Stegostoma tigrinum: one gene and its partners. The protein of the gene in region 2 interacts with the protein of the main gene of each other region in a biochemical or structural test. Links are inferred from orthologs where the notes say so. Each region holds a gene or a part of one and is shown on either strand. Other genes may lie near its edges. The genes, in order: ccna2, skp2 and ccne1.

Region 1 (7,976 bases), on a different chromosome or scaffold from region 2:
GGTCCAGCTGTTGTCACCTCATTACAGGAAAGATAGGGATGCGTTGGAAAAAGTGCAGAGGAGATTTACCAGGATGTTGCCCTGAATGGAGGGAAGGTCTTACGAAGAAAAGTTGAGACAGCTAGGACTTCTCTTTAGAATGACGAAGGATGACAGGTGACTTGATAGAGGTGTACAAAATGATCAGAGGTATAGATCAAGTAGATAGCTAGAGACTTTCCCACCCCCACCCCCCCAGGGTAAAGGTAGCTTTTACAAGGGGACATAGTTTAAAAATGAGTGGAGGTAGATATAGGGGAGATGTCGAGGTAGGTTCTTTACAGAGTGGTAGGGGTTAGGAATGCATTGCTGGAGAGGGTAGTGGAGTCGGCCACATTAGCGGCATTTAAGTGGCTCATAAATAGGCATATGAATGCTAGTGTAAAGGTAGGGGTGGAGATTAGAAAGACCTTAGGATTAGGGTAAAGTTCAGCACAACATCATGGGCCGAAGGGCCTGTACTGTTCAGTGTTCGAAGTACGCAAAGGATTTTTTTGGGGGGGTGTGAGGGGGGGGTGGGTGGATGGATGGAATATGCTTTCATATGAAAACCAAAAGATTTCAATGAGAGATGGGCACATAGGGTATCCATTGCAAGTCTACCTATGGGTATAGCAGTTGTTAATTTCCAAGGCTACACAGTTGCTCAGGTCATGATCAGAGCAGACAGTTTCAGAAAATGGCAGCATGTCTAGATGGCATGATAATGAAGAACAAGTTATCCCATTATTTTCCATGATAATGACTTGACCTGAGATGATGTGCCAACCAATCAGCATATTTTCTTTTTAATAATTACAGCATACATTATTGCTCCCTCTGAAATTTGATGTTCCTTGTGTAGGGCAAAGACACTTCAATAGCATGTCTCTTTTTCAAAGCTTGATTTTTAAAAATAAGAAATAACATTACATTATTTTAAGAGAAGCAATCACAAACCAGATCTTTTCTTGAACTCAACTTTGTCATGAAAAAGACTCTGTTCCAAATGCAGTAGCACATTCTTACTTTTTAAGATGGAATTGTGTCTTTTAAGTAGTATGTTTTTAAAAAGAAAAATTCAGTAGCTCTAGAATTGAAGAACGGACTCAGAAGCAGGAGGGGGAAATGTAATTTTCTACTTGAAAAACAAAAAGGAAGAGACTGAAAACCAAACGAGGGCAGATTCAGTTCAATTGTGATATTCACTTCACCAAAATACTTCCAACACCTCTAGGTTTATTTGGGTGGAAGTGCCAAATGATTCTATCCACAAAAATTGTGGCAGATGTTCAGCTTCTGGGTGAAGCACAGAATCACCTACGACTAATGATCCAAGACTGCAGAAACATGCAAATTTAACTCAGGTGCAGATGTGGAGAAAACAAGAGTATCTCAGCTCAGTTATTTGATTATTTCCCTATTGGCATACAACACCTTGGTAGACATAAAGTGTTCAACTCCCAAGGATTCCAGTCAGGTCAAAGGCTTATATAACTCTACAGAAAGTCTGTTTATTGGTAACCAAGATCAGTCAACTATTCCTTTTGACTGAATTATTGTCACGAGTACTGAAGTGCAGTGAAAAGCTTTGTTTGCAATCGGTACAAGAAAATCACAGTAAAGTAAGGATGTACAGATCAGAGGTTGTACAAAGATGCAGGTTACATTACAAAGGGCACGCGCTAGGCGAAATCAACGTTAGCAAGATGAGCATTATTTGAGGCTAGAGTGTGTCCATTTCAGTCTACTAACTGCCGGGAAGAAGCTGTTTATGATCCTGAACTTTGAACAAGCACCATAAATTCATGAAGTATGTCCCATTTGAAAAAAGTTGTTATAGTGACGTTAATTAAAAAGTAACCTATCTATTTAAAATACTACTCAAGCCGTATGGAATCATACAGTTCTCGATTTTCCAATAAACTGCCTATTTTATCGTTAGCATGCTCATTGCAGTGGCATCACTGACGATTTAGAGTATAGTTGCGATTCACAAATTCACTCTTTCCGGAGTCCCGGAATCGGGGGAAACCAGGCTAAAATCCAGTAGATGATTTCCTCAATATTTGCTAGGCCGGCGGAGAAGAGAAGAACTCAATGATTTCAATTTAAACCTACACGCGTAAAATGTGAAGTTCTTCCGCAATCCAATTATGAGAAACTATTAGGACACCCTAGCAACAAGGTCGTTTTGGCTTGCGGGCTGATATAGAGTTAAAGAGTGTGGAGCACTTTTAATGCTTACGTGTAAGCGTTCAATAAAGTGCTGCATCACACAAGTAACTATTGCTATCAATATGCGAGTACCACTATTTTTCGAACGTCAACCAGCGTAAAAGCTTTAAATTGCAACGTGGAGGACAATCCAGATATTTGTGAGCCGTTGCAAAACGGAAACTGAATGGTGTTGGAGCAATTTGAATTTAACGCTAATCCTCATCGCCGAGAAACCGTCGGATGATATATATTAACCAGTCGTGGCATTCGCGTACTCAGAGTCCGTACTGGAGACCACCGCCGACAGATTGTACCTGCACCGATCATCCAGTGACAGAACCTGCCTCTTTACTTACGGGTTTGCGATGGGGCTGTAAAGCTTGATTACTCTGCAACACTCCGAGCACCTTCCTGCCACCGACAGGGGTAGGAACGGCGACTCTGCCCGCATTTCGCTCCCGGCCTCCCGGTTCCTGACCCTGCCAGCTGACGGCTTTCACCGCCTGGGGTAGCACGTTTTCCCAGTCCCTGGAGACAGCGTCGCGAGAAGCCCGATACATTCTCGAACTCCGGGATTTTTAAAAAAAAATTAAAAATCTTACTTTAAAAAAACTGTACACGTTTCCTTTGAAACAAAAAACACGGGCAAAATACACCGTCGAGTTAAAATCGGAATGAGACCGGGCTGGCGGCTCGGAGCTGTGTCCAGGCTCCCCGTTACCTGTGAAAGGGAGCGACCCCAGCTCGAGCGCCACCGGCCGGGTCCCGCTCTATAATCGGTCCTCCACCTAACGCCAGACTGCGTGGATTGATAGACAATTGTCCTCCCCTCCCCCCAACCCCCGTGCGGCCTGGGACAGTTTGTTCAATTGCTCTTTTCAGGTTCCTCCTCCCCCTGATCAGCTCAGACGTCACCACCGGCAACTGATAAAACCCCATTCAGTTCAAGTGTCCCGCGTCTATTGAAACCAGCCAATGGGTGCTTGATGTGCGGACGCACGTCGGTTCCGTTTCAGATTTGAATTTTTTTCCCCTGCCTCTTATTATTCGCGCGGTCGCGGTTGTCAATCAAAGGAAGAAGAAAATGGGCGGAAGCTGCAAGATGGGAAAGAATTGCTTGGGGTGCAAACAGCGAGTGAGTGCCTTCAGGGAAGTAGAAAAAAATGCAACATGTTAACATTAGTGCAAACATACCATTAGCAAAACGGAAACAGTTTACATTTTGTTAGCCTTTGTGCTCCAAAGATGCTGCATGGCCTACTGTGTTCATCCAGCTACACACTTTGTTATCTCGGATTCTCCAACATCTGCAGTTCCCATTATCTCTGATACAGTTTACATTTACATGTGTTGCACTGTCACTTGCACCCCCATCCATTTATTTTTCTATTGTCTTCAAAATGTTGATTCACAGTGTAGTAGAGTTAGAAAAATGGCTTTTTGTGCAGTTTAGTGCATATCATTCTTCACTTTTGAGCCTGTAAAGAAATTGGAGCTCTGCCATTTAATAATACCATGGTTGATCTGTTTGTGCTTCAAATCTACACTTTCATCTGTCCCCAGTAACCTTTGATTTTCTCTACTTAACAAAAATCTATCTCTATTAAAAATATTCAATGACCCCCATTTCCACTGCCTTCTGAGGCAAGGTTCCAACCTGCTGGAACAAAAGTCACCTTATCTGTTCCAAAAAAGATGATTTCTAATTTTAAAACTTTTTTATTATCCTGAGGAGTAGCATTTTTGCACTACCACAGATCATGTTAAGTGTTTACAGCCAGGGTTGAGACTACTCAACAATCACCAGGCATAAAACATTAAAACATATTATTGTAAGTAGTTGCAGAAAATTCAGATGGACCTTGAAAACAATTTTTTTTTTCATTTAATACTTCTGTTTATGGATTCTACAGATATTGGAGATGGGAGTAAAATTGGATGTTTGGCAATGGAACTATCAGTTCTGAGGAAGAGTCGCTGGACCTGAAACATTAACTCTGTTTTCTCCTTCACAGATGCTGCCAGACCTGCTGAGCTTTTCCAGCAACTTTGTTTTGGTTCCTGATTTACAGCATCTGCAGTTCTTTTGGCTTTTATTTAGTTAAAAGAAAGGACTGATATTAAATGAAATATTCAGAAAACAGGAAGAAAGGGAGGTTGAACAATTTATTAATTAGATATAACAGAAACATTAGAAAACATTAACACATAGCAGTAAGACATGTAGGTTTTATGTTGATTGTCATAAAAGACAATAAAGAATCTATCATTGACCACCTAATGGTGGCAGGAAAGTGTACAGTGAAAGATGTAATAAGGCAGGGAAAATCCAAATTCCTTGAAATGAATTGCCAAAGAGTTATGTAAAGAGAAAGGAACAGGGATCCTGCAAAGGTGCTTTTTTGTGACTCAGTATGTGACAAGCATAAAATGATTTACTACAGAATGTAGTAATGGAGAAAAAAGCAGAAAATAAGAAAAGTCTAAGTATGAACTTATCTACAAAATAAGAACAATGATATAATATAGATTATGACAATAATTCAGATAGCCATAAATAGAACAAAGATGGGGAATTAGAAGAGAAACAGTATGGTGGCTCAGTGGTTAGCACTGCAGCATCACAGCGCCAGGGACCCAGGTTCGATTCCAGCCTCGGGTAACTGCCTGTGTGGAGTTTGCACGTTCTCCCTGTGTCTGCGTGGGTTTCCTCCGGGTGCTCCGGTTTCCTCCCACAGTCCAAAGATGTGCAGCCTAGGTGGATCGGCCATGCTAAATTGCCCGTAGTGTTCAGGGGTGTGTGGATTATAGGGGGTCTGGGTGGGATGCTCCAAGGAGCAGTGTGGACTTGTTGGGCTGAAGGGTCTGTTTCCACACTGTAGGGAATCTAATCTAATCTAAAAGAAACATTGATAGAACTCATGAAAGTAAAATGGGCTCATTAACTCTGTTTTTTCCTTCTCAGATGCTGCCAGACCTGCTGAACTTCTCCAGCAACTTTTTATTCCTGATTTACAGCACCCGCAGTTCTTTCAGTTTTTATTTAGTATGTTCAACAGTTTGGTCCAGATATCATAGAGAGGTGCAGGTTCATTAAGACCATAAGACAAAGGAGTGGAAGTAAGGCCATTCGGCCCATCGAGTCCACTCCGCCATTTAATCACGGCTAATGGGCATTTCACCTCCACTTACCTGCACTGTCCACGTAGCACTTAATTCCTTGCGAGATCAGGAATTTATGATTCTCTGCCTTGAAGACATTTAACGTCCCAGCCTCCACTGCGCTCCGTGGCAATGAATTCCACAGGCCCACCACTCTCTGGCTGAAGAAATGTCTCCTCATTTCTGTTCTAAATTGACCCCCTCTAATTCTAAGGCTGTGCCCACGGGTCCTAGTCTCCCCACCTAACGGAAAAGACTCCCCAGCGTCCACCCTTTCTAAGCCATGCATTATCTTAGAAGTTTCTATTAGATCTTCCCTCAACCTTCTAAACTCTAATGATTACAATCCCAGGACCCTCAGCCGTTCATCGTATGTTAGGCCTACCATTCCAGGGATTATCCATGTGAATCTCCACTGGACATACTCCAGTGCCAGTACGTCCTTCCTGAGGTGTGGGGCCCAAAATTGGATGCAGTATTCTAAATGGGGCCTAACTAGAGCTTTATGAAGTCTCAGAAGCGCTTTGCTGCTTTTATTTTCCAACCTTCTTGAGATAAGTGACAACATTACATTCTCTAATCTAATCATGGACTCAACCTGTAAGTTAACCTTTACAGAATCCTGGATCAACACTCCCAGATCCCTTTGTACTTTGGCTTTATGAATTTTCTCATGGTTTAGAAAATAGTCCATGCCTGTATTCTTTTTGCCAAAGTGCAAGACCTCGCATTTGCTCACGTTGAATTTCATCAGCCATTTCCTGGACCACTCTCCTAAACTTTCCAAATCTTTCTGCAGCCTCCCCACCTCCTGCCTGTACTACCTGCCTGTCCACCTAACTTCGTATCATTGTCAAACTTCACCGGAATGCCCCCAGTCCCTTCATCCAGATCATAAATATATAAAGTGAACAGCTGCAGCCCCAACACTAAACCCTGCGGGACACCACTTGTCACCAGTTGCCATTCTGCAAAAGAGCCTTTTATCCCAACTCTCTGCTTTCTGTCACACAGCTAATCCTCAATCCATGCCAGTAGCTCACCTTGAACACCATGGGCCTTCACCTTACTCAGCAGCATCCTGTAAGGCACCTTATCAAAGGCCTTTTGGAAGTCTAGATAAGTAACATCCACTGGGTTTCCCTGGTCTAACCTACTTGTTATCCCTTCAAAGAATTCTAACAGGTTTGTCAGGCACAACCTCCCCCTTACTAAATCCATGCTGACTTGTTCTAATCTGACCCTGCACTTCCAAGAATTTAGAAATCTCATCCTTAATGATGGATTCTAGAATTTTACCAACAACCGAGGTTAGGCTAATCGGCCTATAATTTTCTATCTTTTGTCTTGCTCCTTTCTTAAACAAGGATATTGCAACAGCGATTTTCCAATCATCTGGGACTTCTAACACCTCCGCTATTTCCTCAGCCACCTCCCTCAAAACTCTAGGATGTAGCCCGTTGGGGCCAGGAGACTTATCAATTTTTAGACCTCTTAGCTTTTCCAGCGCTTTCTTTTGTAATGCCTACCGTACTCAACTCTGCCCCCGACTCTCCCTAATTGTTGGCATACTACTCATGTTTGCCACTGTGAAGACTGACACAAAGTACTTAAGTTCTTCAGCTATTTCCTTATCTCCCATCACTAGCCTTCCAGCATCAATTTGGAGGGACCCAATGTCTACTTTTGCCTCTTGTTTGTTTCTTATGTATTGAAAGAAACTTTTAATATCATTTCTAATATTACTGGCTAGCCTACCTTCATTATGGGATGGTGTGACCAACAATACACATTGTAAGGTAAGATAAATGCAAAGGATTTTTGGAAACTGATCCTATTCTATTCTTAACTACCTGTGAGGATGAGGGTGAAGAGCATAGTTGTACTGTACAACCTCAACATAATATCCCAACTCCTATACTCATAGGCCTGAGCAATAAAGGCAAGCACGGTAAACACCTTCCTAATCACCCTAACTTTGTGATGCAAACTTCAAAGAATTATGTACCTGAATGCATAGGTCTCTGTCCTACACATTACCTAAGGTCCAACTTTTACTGGTTAATTCTTGCCTTTATTTGTTTTACCAAAATGCAGTACCTCACATTTATCCAAATTAAACTGCTACTCTTCAGCCGATTGACCCAATTGATCAAGATCTCTTTGTAATTTTAGATAACCTTCTTCACTGTCCACTATACTGCAAACTAAATAAACCAGGTTAGAAAGTTTATAAGAAAGAAAGGAAAATGGTAAAGGCAGAACAGTGCTTTTGGTGATTAAGGAAAAAAATCACTTCAATAAGAATGGATAGAACATTGGAGACTTTATGGGTAGAATTATGAAAATATTTAAGTCTGTAGTGGAAGTTGTGTAGATACCTTAATAGCAGCTGTAAAATGGTAATTGCACAAATGTAGATAAGACATGCATGCAGTCAAGACAGATTGATTTTAATAAGCCAATTTAATTTTCATATAGCATGAGACATGCAGTCTTGCAAGTCTCAGAAGGATGAATTTCTTGACAGTTTTGGGATAATTTTCTGTGATAACATAACCAGTGAGGGGGTAGAC
Region 2 (7,295 bases):
GCTAGCTTGATGGATGCTTCAGAGCATGTGGATGTCTCTGGCTAGGCCAACATCTGCTTCCTATACCTAACTGGTCTGGAGGGGGTTGTGGCGAGCTGCCAATTTCACCTGTAACAGCACACAGGGTGCAGACGAGGGTGCATCAAAGGATACGAGCTAGTGAATGGTGTGTGTCCCAGTTCATTAAATGACTGATGCCAGCAATAAACAGTGACTTTACATTTAAACCTCTGCTCCAGAACTTGCTGTTCTCCTAGCTAAGCTCTTCCAGGACAAAGCAGCACATCCACAAGCATCCAACACCACCGATGCTCAGTAGCAGTAGAGTGTACTATATACAGGATGCACTGCAGAAATTCACCGAAGATCCTCAGGCAGCACCTTCCAAACCCACGACCACTTCCATCTGGAAGGGCAAGGGCAGCAGATACATGGGAACACCATCCCCTCCAAGTTCCCCACCGAGCCCCTCACTATTCTATCTTGGAAATATATCATCACTGTTAATGGGTCAAAATTCTGGAATTCCCTCCCTAACAGCATTTTGGGTCAACCTAGTGCACCTGTCAGTGTGGATATTTCTTACAATTACTCATCCGCTTGGATCAGGCATTCAGGATGTAAACTGGGGCACTTTGTCCAGAGGCAGCGTCAGTACATCAAGAGGTTAGAGCACTGACTGAGGTAAATTGATTAAATAACTGTGTAAACAATAACAGGCCAAACGCAGTGCTGGGAATGATGAGAGTTTTGTGACAGTTCAGTCGATAAACTATCACGAGGAGCTCTAATTCACCAACAGGTGACCACAGGGGTTCAAGAACAGACCACACCATCTTCTCCAGAGCAACTAAGGACGGGAAATAAATGCTGAATCCAACACAGGCTTCCTGTGTCATTTACCAGGTCAAAAACTGTGATGTCCAGTAGACAACTCTCCAGAATACAGGCAGAATTCCATCCGGGATGTAACTCCAAGGCTTGAAACATTGTTGCAGCACTGGGATATCCGGCACACTAGGGAGAAGAGAATGAGAACCTCAGAGTGTGAAGGTCAGTAATGACAGCACAAGCTGGAGAGGCAGGCAGTGCACAGGAAAGAAGAGTTGTCGGCACCTCGGAGAGGTGTCCATGTTGGGGGCCGAGAGGAGTAATGAGGGGGCATCTGTGGCTGGGAAGGGAGGGGGCAGGTCGGTGGTGGAGGAGGGGAGGAGTCAGAAATGGGGGAGGGTGAATTAGTTTTGAATGGACTGGCTATGGGTGTCTTACCCGTGGGAGGAGTTAGTCCTGTTGGCTGTGAACACCTTACTGGAGTTTGGGGCGCTGCTGGGTGATATCTTGGAGCTATCAACTTCACACTGTCTGTAAATGGTCTGAAACAGAAAGCATCAGTTAAACTCCACTCAATCAAAATACTCCCAAAACAGGCAGTAAAGAAAAATAGGCCAAATAAACAGTGAAGGAGACTGAGGAAAGGTCACTGGACCAGAAACGTTAACACTAACTTTTTCTTCACAGATGCTCCCAGACCTGCTGAACTTTTCCAGCAACTTCTGATGGTGTTGTTGTTGGTGAAGGAGACATCTGACACACTTGCGTTCATTGGTCACACCATTTGAGTATTGGAGTTGGGATGTCAATGTTGCACGATGTAGGGCATTAGTGAGGCCACGTTCAGAACACTGCATACAATTCTGGTTGTCCTTCTAAAGGAAGGGTGTTGAGTACAGAAGATTTACACGTCTGTTGCTGGGACTGGAGGGTTCAAGTTATAGGGAGAGGCTGAATAGGCTGGGGCTTTTTTCTCCGCAGCATCGGGGGCTGAGGGATGACATGATAGAGGTTTGTAAATCATGAGGGGCATGAACAGAGTGAATAGCCAAGGTTTTTACCCCCAGGGAAGTGGGTGGTTCAAACTAGAAGACATAGGTTTAAGGTGAGAGGAGAAAGATTTAAAAAGGGCCTGAGGGATAGCTTTTTCATGCAGAGGGTGGTGTGTGTATGGAAAGAGCTGCCAGAGGAAGTGGACGAGGCTGGTACAATTACAATATTTAAAAGGCATTAGAGGGACATGGGCCAAATGCTGACAAATGGGACTACGTCAGAATGGGATGTCTGGTCGGCACAGATGAACTGGACCAAAGAGTCTGTTTATGTATGACTCCATAAATCAATGCCCCCAGTCAATCATATCAACCAGAGGGAAGGTTTCTTCCTTTCTACCGTATCTTACGTCCCTCAAGATCATATACATCTCAATCTGAACTCGCCAGTCTCCTCTGCTCCGAGGAAAACAACTCCAGTCTGTCCAAGATGACACAGTGTGGAGCTGGAGGAACACAACAGACCAGGCAGATCAGAGGAGTTAAGAGATGATATTTCAGTTCAGGACCCTTCTTTCAGAAAGATGCTGCCTGGCCTGCTGTGTTCCTCCAGCTCCACACTGTATCTCTGACGCCAGCATCAGCAGTTCTTACTGTCTCCAGTTGGTCCAATGTCTCTTCATCTCTGAAACTTTCCAGTCGGGGCAAGCATCCTGATCAATTTCCTCTGGATCCTCTCTGCTGCTATCACATCCCGCCTATAATGTGGATTCCAGTAAACACTGGAAGGATTTTCTTGTTGACAGCAGAGTCCAAAAACAGGATAAGTCGAATAATACAAAGCTGACCGTTTAGGACTTAGATGAGGAGCAACATCTTTACCGAGACAGTGGGGAGCCAGTAGAATTCTCTGCCACAGAAAGTGGTTGATACTTTTCAAGGATACAGGGGCAGAGGGAATGGGGTACTGAGAGGGATGATCAGTCATGACTGCTAATTTTATCCTAAATAAGGATCAAGGCTGAACTAACTGGTCTGTACTTGCGTTTTTATTTTGAGCAAAAATTTGCAGCCCACCAGCTCACTGACATCAGCCCCGTATCTTTGCAATTTCCACTCTCACCTTCTACCAGCGTCCTTTGATGCATCTGATCTGATCTTATCTTGGCAACTTAACATCTTCAGGCACTGACTGCCTATGCAATTGATTTGTGCAGACTGGGCACCTCAGCAAATCATTCACATGTGGCTAGTCTAACTGTAGTTGCCAGGTGTTTTGGACATGGTGCAACGAAAGATAAACAGAACATACAAGAGGCACTGTGGGGTAAAAAGATTAGTGTGTTGTTACCGTGGTGACATCCAGAGGCAGGATGATGACAATGAGGAAGCAGAGATACCAGGCTAACAGTGTGGCTACAATCACCAGCTTGTGCTGCTTCCTGAAGTCGGCATATCGATAGAGAACCAGCAGAGCCAGGAAGAACACCACCACAATATCGATTCCCAATGCTGCCCCACTCATGGTCAGTTGGAGAATAAGAGAATGGGGGCTTTGGGAGGCACCGCTGCCCAAGAAGGCACTGAATAACCCTGTATGGGGAGAAGAAAAAGAACTGAATGTCAAAGAAAGTATCAGAGATAATGGGAACTGCAGATGCTGGAGAATCAGAGATAATAAAGTGTGAGGCTGGATGAACACAGCAGGCCAAGCAGCATCTCAGGAGCACAAAGCGTCCAGGCCCGAAACGTCAGCTTTTGTGCTCCTGAGATGCTGCTGGGCCTGCTGTGTTCATCCAGCTCCACACTTTATTATCTTGGATTGTCAAAGAAGGTGGTATGGAGAGAGGGAAAGGGGGAGGTGGAAAGGGGAGGGAAGGACAGAGGGAAAATGGGGTGCAGGGGGAGTGGGGGGGGAGAGAGCAGGGGAGGGGGAGACGGGGTGAGCGGAAGGAGGGGCCAGGGAAAGTGGGGGGAAGGGGAGGTGGGGGAGGTGGGGGAGGGGTGTGGGAGTAGTGGGGGGAGAGCAGGGGACGGGCCAGAGGGTGAGGTGAAAGGGGGAGGGAGATGTTGTTGTTTTCCTCGACCGCCCTCCCTCTCCGTCTCCGTCTCCATTGTTATTGCCTCTTCCTATCCCTCCAACCCTCTCTCTCCCCCCCCCTTCCCCTCCTCACTCCCCTCCTCCCTCACTACCGCCCCCCCCAACCAATCTCTCACTGTTTCTCTCTTCGGTTGTTTCCGGTTGAAGATGACCTCTGACACGTCGTTCGCGTCATTTCCGACGCGGCGCCTCTTGGGTAATGTAGTGTCCCGCAAGCTGGAACCTCCTACAAGCCCCAGAACGCCCGCCGGTGGCGGCCAACGACGTGGCCACGCCCCCTTCCCAAGACAGCCAATCAAACCCGGCATCCGGTTAGCGCGCGGAGTTCGAACTTCCCGCCGGAAAAGCAAGGGGGAGAGATGGATACGGGGAGGTGGAAGGGGGCGAGGGAGAGGGAGAGGGAGAGGGCCCGGGCCCGGATCGGCTCGGAGGGTGGGCCTGAGCCCGGGAAGGATACACGGTGAGTGTAAGGATTGACCGGAGCTCTGTGTCCGGGCAGTGTTTGGGGTCGGATAGTGACCGATCGTCTCCCTCAGTGTGTTGCAGGAGGTGACACCATCGAGCTGCGGCCCAAGCACAGTCCCGTGGAGCTGGGACCTCGCTGAGACCCGCTCGTTAATGACGGTGATGGGGGTCCGCCTGATCGAGGAGAAAACAAACAGAGCAGCGGAGCCTTCAGATCGAGCTGCTCCACCAAAACGTCCCAGGAGCTGCCGGGGGAAGGAGAACCAGGTGGTCTCCAAGAGGTTTCGGAAGAGTGCCCATTCTCCATCAGGTACACAGCAGCTGGTTGTGAATGTGTCGGAGGTAATGGGGAACTGCAGATGCTGGAGAATCCGAGATAACACGGTGTGTGGGGCTTGTGCTCCTGAGATGCTGCTCGGCCTGCTGTGTTTATCCAGCTCCACACCGTGTTATCTCTGTGTCGTGTCTTTGTCAAACCAAGTGGGATGCAGGGTACAAAGCTGTTTTTCTTCAGAGCATTCTGACCTCGCTGTCCCCACCCCCCAGCACTCTTAAATCTGTAGACAAACATCTTGAAGGTATCTGATGATCTAGTGGGAGTTGTTCATTGTTAATCCATCGTGCCTGAAACAAAGACAAAGTATTGGAGAAACCTATTAAGTCTGGCAGAATCTGGAGAAAGAAACAGTGCCAGGGTTTCAAGTCCAGAATGAAATTGTTGAAATTGGAATAAATAAACAGCATTTGTCAAAACAAATAACGTGTGTAATCATTGTGTAGCATACTCTAATCTTTATACAAACTGAGATTAGCAAAGATAGCCCAGAAGATAAATTTGTAGAAACCTTTCATGACCATTTCCTGAAGCAAAACATACTGGAATCAACTAGAGACAAAGTTATTTTGCATCAAATATTCTGTAATCAGGCACGTTTAAACAGTAATATAATTGTAATTGGTCTACTTGGAGATAGTGATCACAGTGCCACTGAATTCCATTTTGAAAATCACATAATCTAGCCTAGAAACCAGTTATATTATTACGAGAGAGATTGTTGGAAGTGGTAATGTTTTGTTTTATTCATTCATGGGATGTGGATGTTGCTGTCTGGGCCAGCATTTATCACCTGTGGATGTGAGTTTGCTCACTGAGCTGGAAGGTTAGTTTTCAGACGTTTCGTCACCATTCTAGGTAACATCATCAGTGAGCCTCCGACGAAGCGCTGGTGTTATGTCCCACTTTCTATTTCATAACACCATAACACCAGCGCTTCACCGGAGGCTCACTGATGATGTTACCTAGAATGGTGACGAAACGTCTGAAAACTAACCTTCCAGCTCAGTGAGCAAAATCACATCCAGAACCTCAACCTGAGCTACAAATCTTCTCAAAACTCGCTATTTATCTCCTGTCCCCACTTGCCGCCCTGAGAATGTGTTGCCGCCCTGAGAATGTGTGGTGAGCTGGCTTCTTAAATCGCTGCAGTCCGTGTGCTGTTGGTTGACCCACAATGCCCTGTGGGAGGGAATTCCAGATTTTGATCTAAGAATGGTGATATATTTCCATGTCAGGGTGGTGAGTGGCTGGCAGAGAAATTTTCAGGGAGTGGTGTTCACTGGACAATTAATCCAAGAGCCCAGGTCGTGATTTGAAGACACTTCAAATCCTACCACGGCCACTGCTGCAATTTCAATCCAATTACTAAATGTGGAACTGAAATACGCCCTCAATAATGATGGCAATTCTGTGAGAATGAAAATCTTCTTCCCCGAAAGGATTTAGTGAATGAAATTGTCTGGTCTGCAAACCCACAGCAACGGTTTGACTCTTAACTGCCTTCTGAAATGGCTAAATGAGTCTCTCAGTTTCAGGGCAATATAGGGCAGACACCAACCATCTCCCTTGCCAATGGCATCCACATTCCATGAACAAATGTTTTAAAATCCTCACGACCCGATGGCTTACTTTCACAGATTCTGAGAAGGACAATGCTGCTGAGATAGTAGATACTCTGACCATGATTGGAGAATGTTGGAATCTCCTGAGCGAAATTTTATTTAGAAGTGCAGTGTGATGAGACAAATACGGTTTTGCAAAAGGAAAGTTGCAACTGAAATTAATTTTGCTTTCCCATTATACTGTCACCAGTCGCAACCTGAGAAGGGTAAATGTTTGTTTTCAGTAATCTCTTACATATCTATTCTCATATTTGTTTTTTCCGTTTGTTTTCTATTTGTTGTCCCTCTTTGGTTTCAGTTATGATTTCTGAATTAAAACATATTTATTTTTATAGACAGGGTTGTAAATAACAAACATGCAGTTCCTAATCCAACAATTATAAATTTGGTCTCTTTATGGAAATGCAGGTGAATCTTCAGTTAATGACCACTATTTGCTTGTCAATATTAGATTCCTTTCTCAAATAAAATTTAGTGTTCATATGTTTGTTGAATTATTAGACAAATTGGGAGGGGGAGTAGAGACTTGGGCAGAGAAGTGAGGCAAGGCAGGCAGACTGGAAAACCCCAGAGGGCATCCTATTTGTTGACTGCTTTTCTGGGTTAGAAAACAATGACAGCGTGGGTTCCACTATGGAACACAGCAAGGGCAAAGTGGGCGGCCCAGCTGCATAAGGAGGGATCTTAGGTTTTGGAGTAGATTTGTAGCTCAGGTTGTGGGTGTTTGGCTCGTCGAGCTGGTTTGTTGTTCCACAGACGTTTCGTTACCATGCTGGGTAACATCCTCAGTGCAGTCTGCTATGAAACGTCAGTGTGTCTTTCTGCCTGGATTTTAAACCACAACTTCAACTGGACAACACCAAGGTCCTGGGACAGGCTAGGCAGAGACAAACATGAGAATTCCTGGAAGTGTGGCACTCCACGAAGCAGGCTATTAATAAACACAT
Region 3 (6,955 bases), on a different chromosome or scaffold from region 2:
CCGTTCCCCCACTGCACCACACAACCAGCCCAGCTCTTCCCCTCCACCCACTGCATCCCAAAACCAGTCCAACCTGTCTCTGCCTCCCTAACCTGTTCTTCCTCTCACCCATCCCTTCCTCCCACCCCAAGCCACACCTCCATCTCCTACCTACTAACCTCATCCCACCTCCTTGACCTGTCTGTCTTCCCTGGACTGACCTATCCCTTCCCTACCTCCCCACCTATACTCTCTCCACCTATCTTCTTTTCTCTCCATCTTCGGTCCGCCTCCCCCTCTCTCCCTATTTATTCCAGAACCCTCACCCCAACCCCCTCTCTGATGAACGGTCTAGGCCCGAAATGTCAGCTTTTGTGCTCCTGAGATGCTGCTGGGCCTGCTGTGTTCATCCAGCCTCACATTTTATTATCTTGGATTCTCCAGCATCTGCAGTTCCCATTATCAAGGAAATCAGGAGGGCAGTTTTGGCTGAGAAGACAATGGTGAATCCAAAGAGGATCTTTAAGTATTAAAGGAAGAAGGATAACTAGAGAAACAATAGGACCCTTCAATGTCCAAAGTGGACATATATGTGTGGAACTGCAGGATATGGGCATATCACACTGGAGGTGGTGTTGTAAGTATTAGAATGCATGGATGGATAAGTCTCCTGCTTCTAACCAGGTATATCCAAGAACCTTGCAAGAAGCTAGGAAAGAAACTGCAGGGTCGTGGCCGATATATTTGCATCATCGTTACCCATAGATGACGACCCAGAAGACTGGTGGATAGCGAAGCTTCTGCTCTTGTTCAAGAAGAGTTGCAAAAACAAACTGGGAATTATAGACTAGTAAGCTTAACATCTGTGGTATTCTGAGGGGTATACATCCATTTGGAAAGGCAGGGTTGATTAATAGTAGCAGCATGGTTTTGAGCATGGGACATCATACCTCACAAATTTGTTAGAATTCTTTGAAGTGACCAGGAAAGTTGATGAGGGCAGGTCGGTAGATGTAAACTATATGGGTTTCAGTAAGGCCTTTGATAAGGTTCCACATTGTAGGCTGGTTAGATGGTTAGATCGCATGGAACCCAGGGAGAGCTGGCAGATTAGATACACAATTGGCTTGATGGTAAGAAGCAGAGAGTAATAGTGGAAGGATGCTTGTCAGACTGGAGGTCTGTGAATAGTGGTGTGCCTCAGGGGTCTATGCTGGGCCCATTGTTGTTTGTTATCTATGTCAATGATTTGGATGAGAATGAGGATGAGAAAGCATGATTAGTAAGTCTGCAGATGACACTAAAATTGGTAGTATCGTGGACTGTGACGAAGGTTATTTGAAATTGCAGCAGGATCTTGATCAGTTGGGGAAGTGGGCTGAGAAATAGCAAACGGAGTTTAATATAGATAAGTGTGACGTGTTGTATTTTGGAAAGTCAAATCAAGGTAAGAGTTTCATGGCAAATGGAAGGGCCTTAATGAGTGTAGTGAAACAGGGGATCTTGAAATATAGGTGCACAGTTCTCTGAAAGTGGAGTCACAGGTAGACAGGGCAGTGAAGAATTCTTTTGAAACACTGGCCTTCACCAGTCAGGGCACTGAGTATAGGAGTTGGGCAGCTAGTTGCAGTTGTACGGGACGTTGGTGAGGCTACCCTTGGAATAATATGTTCTGTTTTAGTCACCTTGTTGTGGGAAGAATGTTATTAAAATGGAAAGAGGGCAGAAGAAATTTACAAGAATGTTGCCAGGACTCCAAGACTGATTTATAGGGAGAGGATGGACAAGCTAGGACTTTTCTCTTTCAAGCTTAGGAGACTGAGGGGGCATCTTACAGAAGTGCATAAGATCATGAAAGGCATGAATAGGGTGAATGCATTCAGCCTTTTTAACAGGTTTGGGAAGTCGAGGACTAGAGGGCTCAGTTTAAGGTAAGAGGGGAAAGAATACATGGGAACCTGAGGGCAACTTTTTTAGACAGGATGGTATGCATATGGAATGAGCTGCGGAAGTAGTGGTGGGGAGGGGTGCATCAACAACATTTGGACAAAAAGACGGATAGAAAAGGTTTAGAAGGATATAGGTCAAGTGCAGGGCAATGGGGTTAGCATGGATCAACATGGTCAGCATGGTCCAATTTGGGACAAAGGCCCTGTCTTTGTGCTGTAGGATTCTATGATTGTCTAACTGTAAAATTTTTTTTGCCAGAGTTTGCATTGAGAGGCAAAATGATGATGCTTGTTGCTGCCATGAATGAAAGTTGTCCATAAAGATCTAGCAAGCTTTAAGAAATTGATTTTACCTTTATTGACATTAAATTAATTTTGGAATCAGCTTCGAGAATGGTTCAACAACAGTGATGTTACCATGCAAATGAAGCAGCCAATCACAAAGCAGAGTTCTTATAGGCAGCAAACCAGGAAATAACAAGCAGGTTTTAACACTTATGTTTCACTAAATCATCGAAAGTAAAATAAACATGATACATGATCAAGGTGGGGGAAGAAATACAAGTTTCTTTTAAATTGTACTTTAAAAGCCTGTAGACTTTTAAAGTCATTGAATGAAAATGACATTTCACAAATATAAATGATAAAACCCAGAAAGTTGGTTGAGCACTGTTTAAAACTCTGTTCATCTCAGTCAACTCTAACACGTTCAAAGTTTTTTTTTACAGACTCAGTTGTAACATGAAAAGTGCAGGTTCAAGCCAATTCAGATGTACTCAGGAATGATGAGACACCAACAGCAATGGGTTTCTGTCACCAACTGTGCAAGTGCAAAAACTAAAAGTTTTGCCATAACTACAACTGCATCAAAATGCCATCCCTCATAAGTTTGTACATAGATATATATATACCCTTTCTATATTTATCATTTATCTTTAATTCAAGCCACTTTGCTCTGCCTAACAGCCCTGAAATTAAAGTCTCCGACAAAAAGGTCTTCGCTTTCACTTCTATTGTCCTGATTTCTGAACAAAACAACATTCTGACACATTACTGTTGTAGCAGGAAGTCTGTAGGTTACAGCTACTACCCCTTTCTTTTTCCTTAATTGGAGTTGGTGACTTAAGGAATGATCAGCAATTAAGGGTGATAGCAAAATATGTGAAGCGTTTGCAATATCATAAAGTGGTTCTTAAGAACATACCAGTCTATTGTGAGAAGGATCATTTGGTTTTCAGATGCGGCTACAATCCAGGGAAATAAATAAAATGACAACAAACAGTGAAGACCTGAAGCCAGTTGGGGGAATGGGTGATAGGAGGCAAAGTTGAGAGATACATACAACCCCAGCCTCCTCACAGGCCTTCCTGGTTATCTGAGACACTGACAACCCACTGAGAGAAGCCCCTAGAAAAGAGGAGGTAGATATTGTACGAGAGTATCAGTCACTGTCACCCCCGATCAATGACAGGACTGACCTCTCACCTGGCATTGGCCGCAGCTGCACCATCTCCAGTACAACACAATGAGCTTGCACGGTCTCACAGCTGCTACAAGCTCATCACCTCTGAGATCTAAGCGAGGGTTCAAAGCAGCAGGCTGCTTGGTGACCCTCTCTCACTGACAGTCAAAGACACACATGATGTAGAGGTGCCGATGTTGGGGTGGGGTGGACAAGGTCAGAAATCATCAGGTTTATTTGAAAACACAAGCTTTTGGAGCTTCAGTCTAGGTCGGGAAAGGGAATGAGCCTGGCCCTAAGGCTCCATGGCTCTACGGCTCCAGGCCCCCAGGCTGAAGGCCGGGAATTTTGTTTATCTTCGACCCACGTACTGACCACATCCCCAATCTTCACCGTCATTATCGCCACCCATTTCGCACTGGTGGGCGGGGTCGGAGAGGGGAAGTGTGGCGTGATGTGGCGCATGACGTTCTGGGTGGGTGGGGTTCCTGGGAAGGGCGGGGTTTGGCAGCGAGTCTGTTTGAGTGGGACAAGCCGGACACAAGGGGTGAAGGAGGGAGCATGAGCTAAGGAGCGCGGGGCGGAGCCTAAGGGGACAGGGGCGTGGCCTGTGACAACTTCCTCCGGCTGAGAACGCGCGCTTGACTCCCGCCAGCGATTTAAAGGGATCAGCGCAAGCGCGATGAAGAGAGACTAGCCGGCACTGTGGAGCGGAGCTGGGCTAAGAGCGGGAGCCGGCTGAGGGCTAACTGGAGGGAAGCATCAGCGGCAGGCTACAGAGCAAGAAGACAGGGGGCGATAAGACCATAGAAACGGGGCACAGATACCGAGGGTCACCTAGTGGTGAGCACCAGCTGACACCCCATCAGCGCAGGCTGGTCGTACCCACATTCTTCCCGGTTAAACAGCAGGCAGCGCGGGGTCCCGGCTTCGGCCATCTTCGGCTGTGCGCTGAGATCAGAGGCCGGCTTGGGGCTGAGTGCCCTCCCTCTCATCCCCTCTTTTCCCAACACCAGTAATGTGACTGGGCCAGAGGAGCGTGGCCCCCACCCCATCCCGCGCCCAAACCTGAGGTCCACTCCTGTGAGTAAGCAGCAGCAACCACCTCACTACCTCGAGAAGCGACAGTAACTTCATGCAGCCTCTCCCTTCTGAATTACAGGAGATCTTTAAACCACACAAACAACACTGAAGATGCCCAGAAAAAGGTACATTTTAAAGTGAGTTGAAAGCAGTGCCGTGTTACCAGTTATAAATTCACGGTGGGTGTCTCTACAAGGCCTAATCTCTACAAGGCATTTTGCCATAATGAGCAAATGTGCATTTTTTAAGCTATTATTTCTTTTCAGTGAATTAGTAGACCAATCAACGAAAACTGAAGAAACGAACAGGATTGTGCTGCATACCCGAAAGCGAAAAGCCGACGTTGCCATTGTAAGTTTAACCGCACATGAATATGCCATTGTGCTTTAGCACGCTTTCTAAGTTTGGTAATCGGTCTTTTCTGATCGTAGTGTTTGCAAGACTTGGATGAACTTACAGAAGTGCAGTCTACGAAACCATACGAAAAGGAGGTAATAGAATATGAGGTCTGCAGGTTTTATTTAACTATGACTTTTGCTATGCGTAGATGATTGTTTGTTTAGCCAACCTCTTAATCTTGAGCTATTTCGATTCTGGTCAACATGTTGCCACTAACTGAATAGCAGTGTTGTACATTGTTTAGGCATATAATCCAGGCCTTGGTCGTCTTGAACATGTTTTGGTTTCTCAGGAGCACTTGATTAGCTTCACAGTAAGCAAATTATCCAATAACTGAGTATTAAAATTAAACCACTGTGGTGGTTTCTAGAGTGCTTTTTTCCCCTTGACCCAAATATTTTAATAAAATCTGGGGTTTAATATCTTTCAAAACTAGCCAAGAGTATCTAGCAATGCTAGAATTCTAGTGTGGCAATACCAATAGATCTTGCAGTAAGGTTTTGTGAAGCAGGTAGGCTGGGATGTAGGGCACCTGGGCAGAAATTTTGGTTGTAACTTTTTAATAGTTTTATCTCAATACTTTGGATCTGGGTAAATCTAACACTGGAAAATCAGCTCAAAATTGCACAATTTAAAAACTTCACTCAGGGAACTCACAAGTATGATGCAAGAACTAAGTGTAAGAAATAGCAACAGGAGTAGGTTGTTCAGTCCTTCGAGCCTGCTCTGCTATTCAACAAGGTGATGGCTAATCCAACTTTATGGCTCCTTTTGTACAATGCTATTCACACTGTCCCTTTACCAGAACAGCCCATGTTTGAGTTGCCACTGATCCTGTCCTACCATTTAACCAACTTAATTGAAGGAACATCTTGTAGCATCCCTACAGTGTGGAAACAAGCCATTTGGCCCAACAGGTCCAGTCTGCCCCTCCTGAAGAGCACAACAGTCAGACCCATTTCCCGTGCCTAACATCCCTGGGCACTATGAATTTATTACGGCCAATCCACCTACCCTGCACATCTCTGGACTTCAGGAGGAAACTGGAGCACTCAAAGCAAACCCGTGCAGACACTGGGAGAATGTACAAACTCCACACAGACAGACCCGAGGCTGGAAGTGAACCTGGGTCCCTGGCACTGAGGCAGCAGTGCTAACTACTAAGTCTCTGCGCTGGCCCAAAGGGTGGAGAATGTGGGCTCCGATCCTGCTACCTCACAGTTCTAGGTGAATTGGAGTAATTCTGCCAAGTTGTTGGTTTTTTTATTCCTTCTCTAGCTTTAATGAAAGATAGTCAAGCATGGTTCTAACATTACCAGCTAATCAAGTGATTCTAGTGAATTGGGGTAAAGTGACAGTATTGGAATAGCAGCATGGAATGTTAATTGAGAGGGATTAGCCAGTTCAGACTTTTGGACTAGTGATGTTTTTTTGCCACTGTTAAGCTGAATTCAGTCTGAAAATTGACAACTATTCTAATGATTAGTTTGTTTGCAAAATTGACTAATTGCAGGATTGCTGGACTACTGTAGCCAACTGTATGAGTCCATACAGACTACATGCAACATCATGCACAAATCTAGATGACATGGTTACATCAAATTCTACTAGCTGTGTGCAGTACAGGCTCAAAAATGTTTTAGCCACTCCAACTAGAGCTTCACCATTACCAGCATTGTGGTAAGTATTTATACACTAAACTTGCACTGTCTTAGCCATATTTCATAATGCAAGAAGACAGCTTTGCATAGGTCAATTATGGTGACATTATTTTCTTAAATACAAATAGCTGGGGAAATCATGAAGAAGTATGGAATATCCTTCTGAAGAAGGAGCAGGCTTACTTGAGAGACAAAGATGTTTTCCAAAAGCATCCACTCTTGCAACCTAAGATGAGAGCTATTCTTCTTGACTGGTTAATGGAGGTAAGGACTTTGTAACGAGTACTCATTCAAACTTCTGTGTGGATAATGTGGTTTTTTTTAAAATTTAAACCAATATTGGAAATAGTCCCCAAAAAGTACTCTTCAAATGTTAACAAATCCTTTTTTGGATGAGAACAAGATCCCACTTATTGTCTCCA

The links.
Region 1: the proteins of skp2 (region 2) and ccna2 are reported together in a solved structure, tested with the Homo sapiens proteins (2 studies listed by BioGRID, with this or other methods). The link is inferred for Stegostoma tigrinum from reciprocal best matches to the Homo sapiens genes SKP2 and CCNA2.
Region 3: the proteins of skp2 (region 2) and ccne1 form a complex in vitro, tested with the Homo sapiens proteins (2 studies listed by BioGRID, with this or other methods). The link is inferred for Stegostoma tigrinum from reciprocal best matches to the Homo sapiens genes SKP2 and CCNE1.

The regions. Positions count from the first base shown.
Region 1 is NC_081354.1:36,737,145-36,745,120, reverse strand, and holds the start of ccna2 (cyclin-A2), read right to left. Parts: upstream 3,105-7,976; 5' UTR 2,960-3,104; intron 2,806-2,959; 5' UTR 2,799-2,805; coding exon 2,595-2,798; intron 1-2,594. UniProt on the Homo sapiens protein: Cyclin which controls both the G1/S and the G2/M transition phases of the cell cycle. Functions through the formation of specific serine/threonine protein kinase holoenzyme complexes with the cyclin-dependent protein kinases CDK1 or CDK2.
Region 2 is NC_081356.1:138,440,665-138,447,959, reverse strand, and holds the start of skp2 (S-phase kinase-associated protein 2), read left to right. Parts: upstream 1-4,276; 5' UTR 4,277-4,283; coding exon 4,284-4,384; intron 4,385-4,460; coding exon 4,461-4,699; intron 4,700-7,295. Other genes in the region: G-protein coupled receptor-associated protein LMBRD2B, read right to left, coding at 904-1,017, 1,270-1,373, 1,506-1,706, 3,175-3,348. UniProt on the Homo sapiens protein: Substrate recognition component of a SCF (SKP1-CUL1-F-box protein) E3 ubiquitin-protein ligase complex which mediates the ubiquitination and subsequent proteasomal degradation of target proteins involved in cell cycle progression, signal transduction and transcription.
Region 3 is NC_081369.1:32,653,035-32,659,989, forward strand, and holds the start of ccne1 (G1/S-specific cyclin-E1), read left to right. Parts: upstream 1-3,937; 5' UTR 3,938-4,584; coding exon of another isoform or gene 4,585-4,610; 5' UTR 4,611-4,698; coding exon 4,699-4,824; intron 4,825-4,904; coding exon 4,905-4,964; intron 4,965-6,385; coding exon 6,386-6,552; intron 6,553-6,661; coding exon 6,662-6,797; intron 6,798-6,955. UniProt on the Homo sapiens protein: Essential for the control of the cell cycle at the G1/S (start) transition.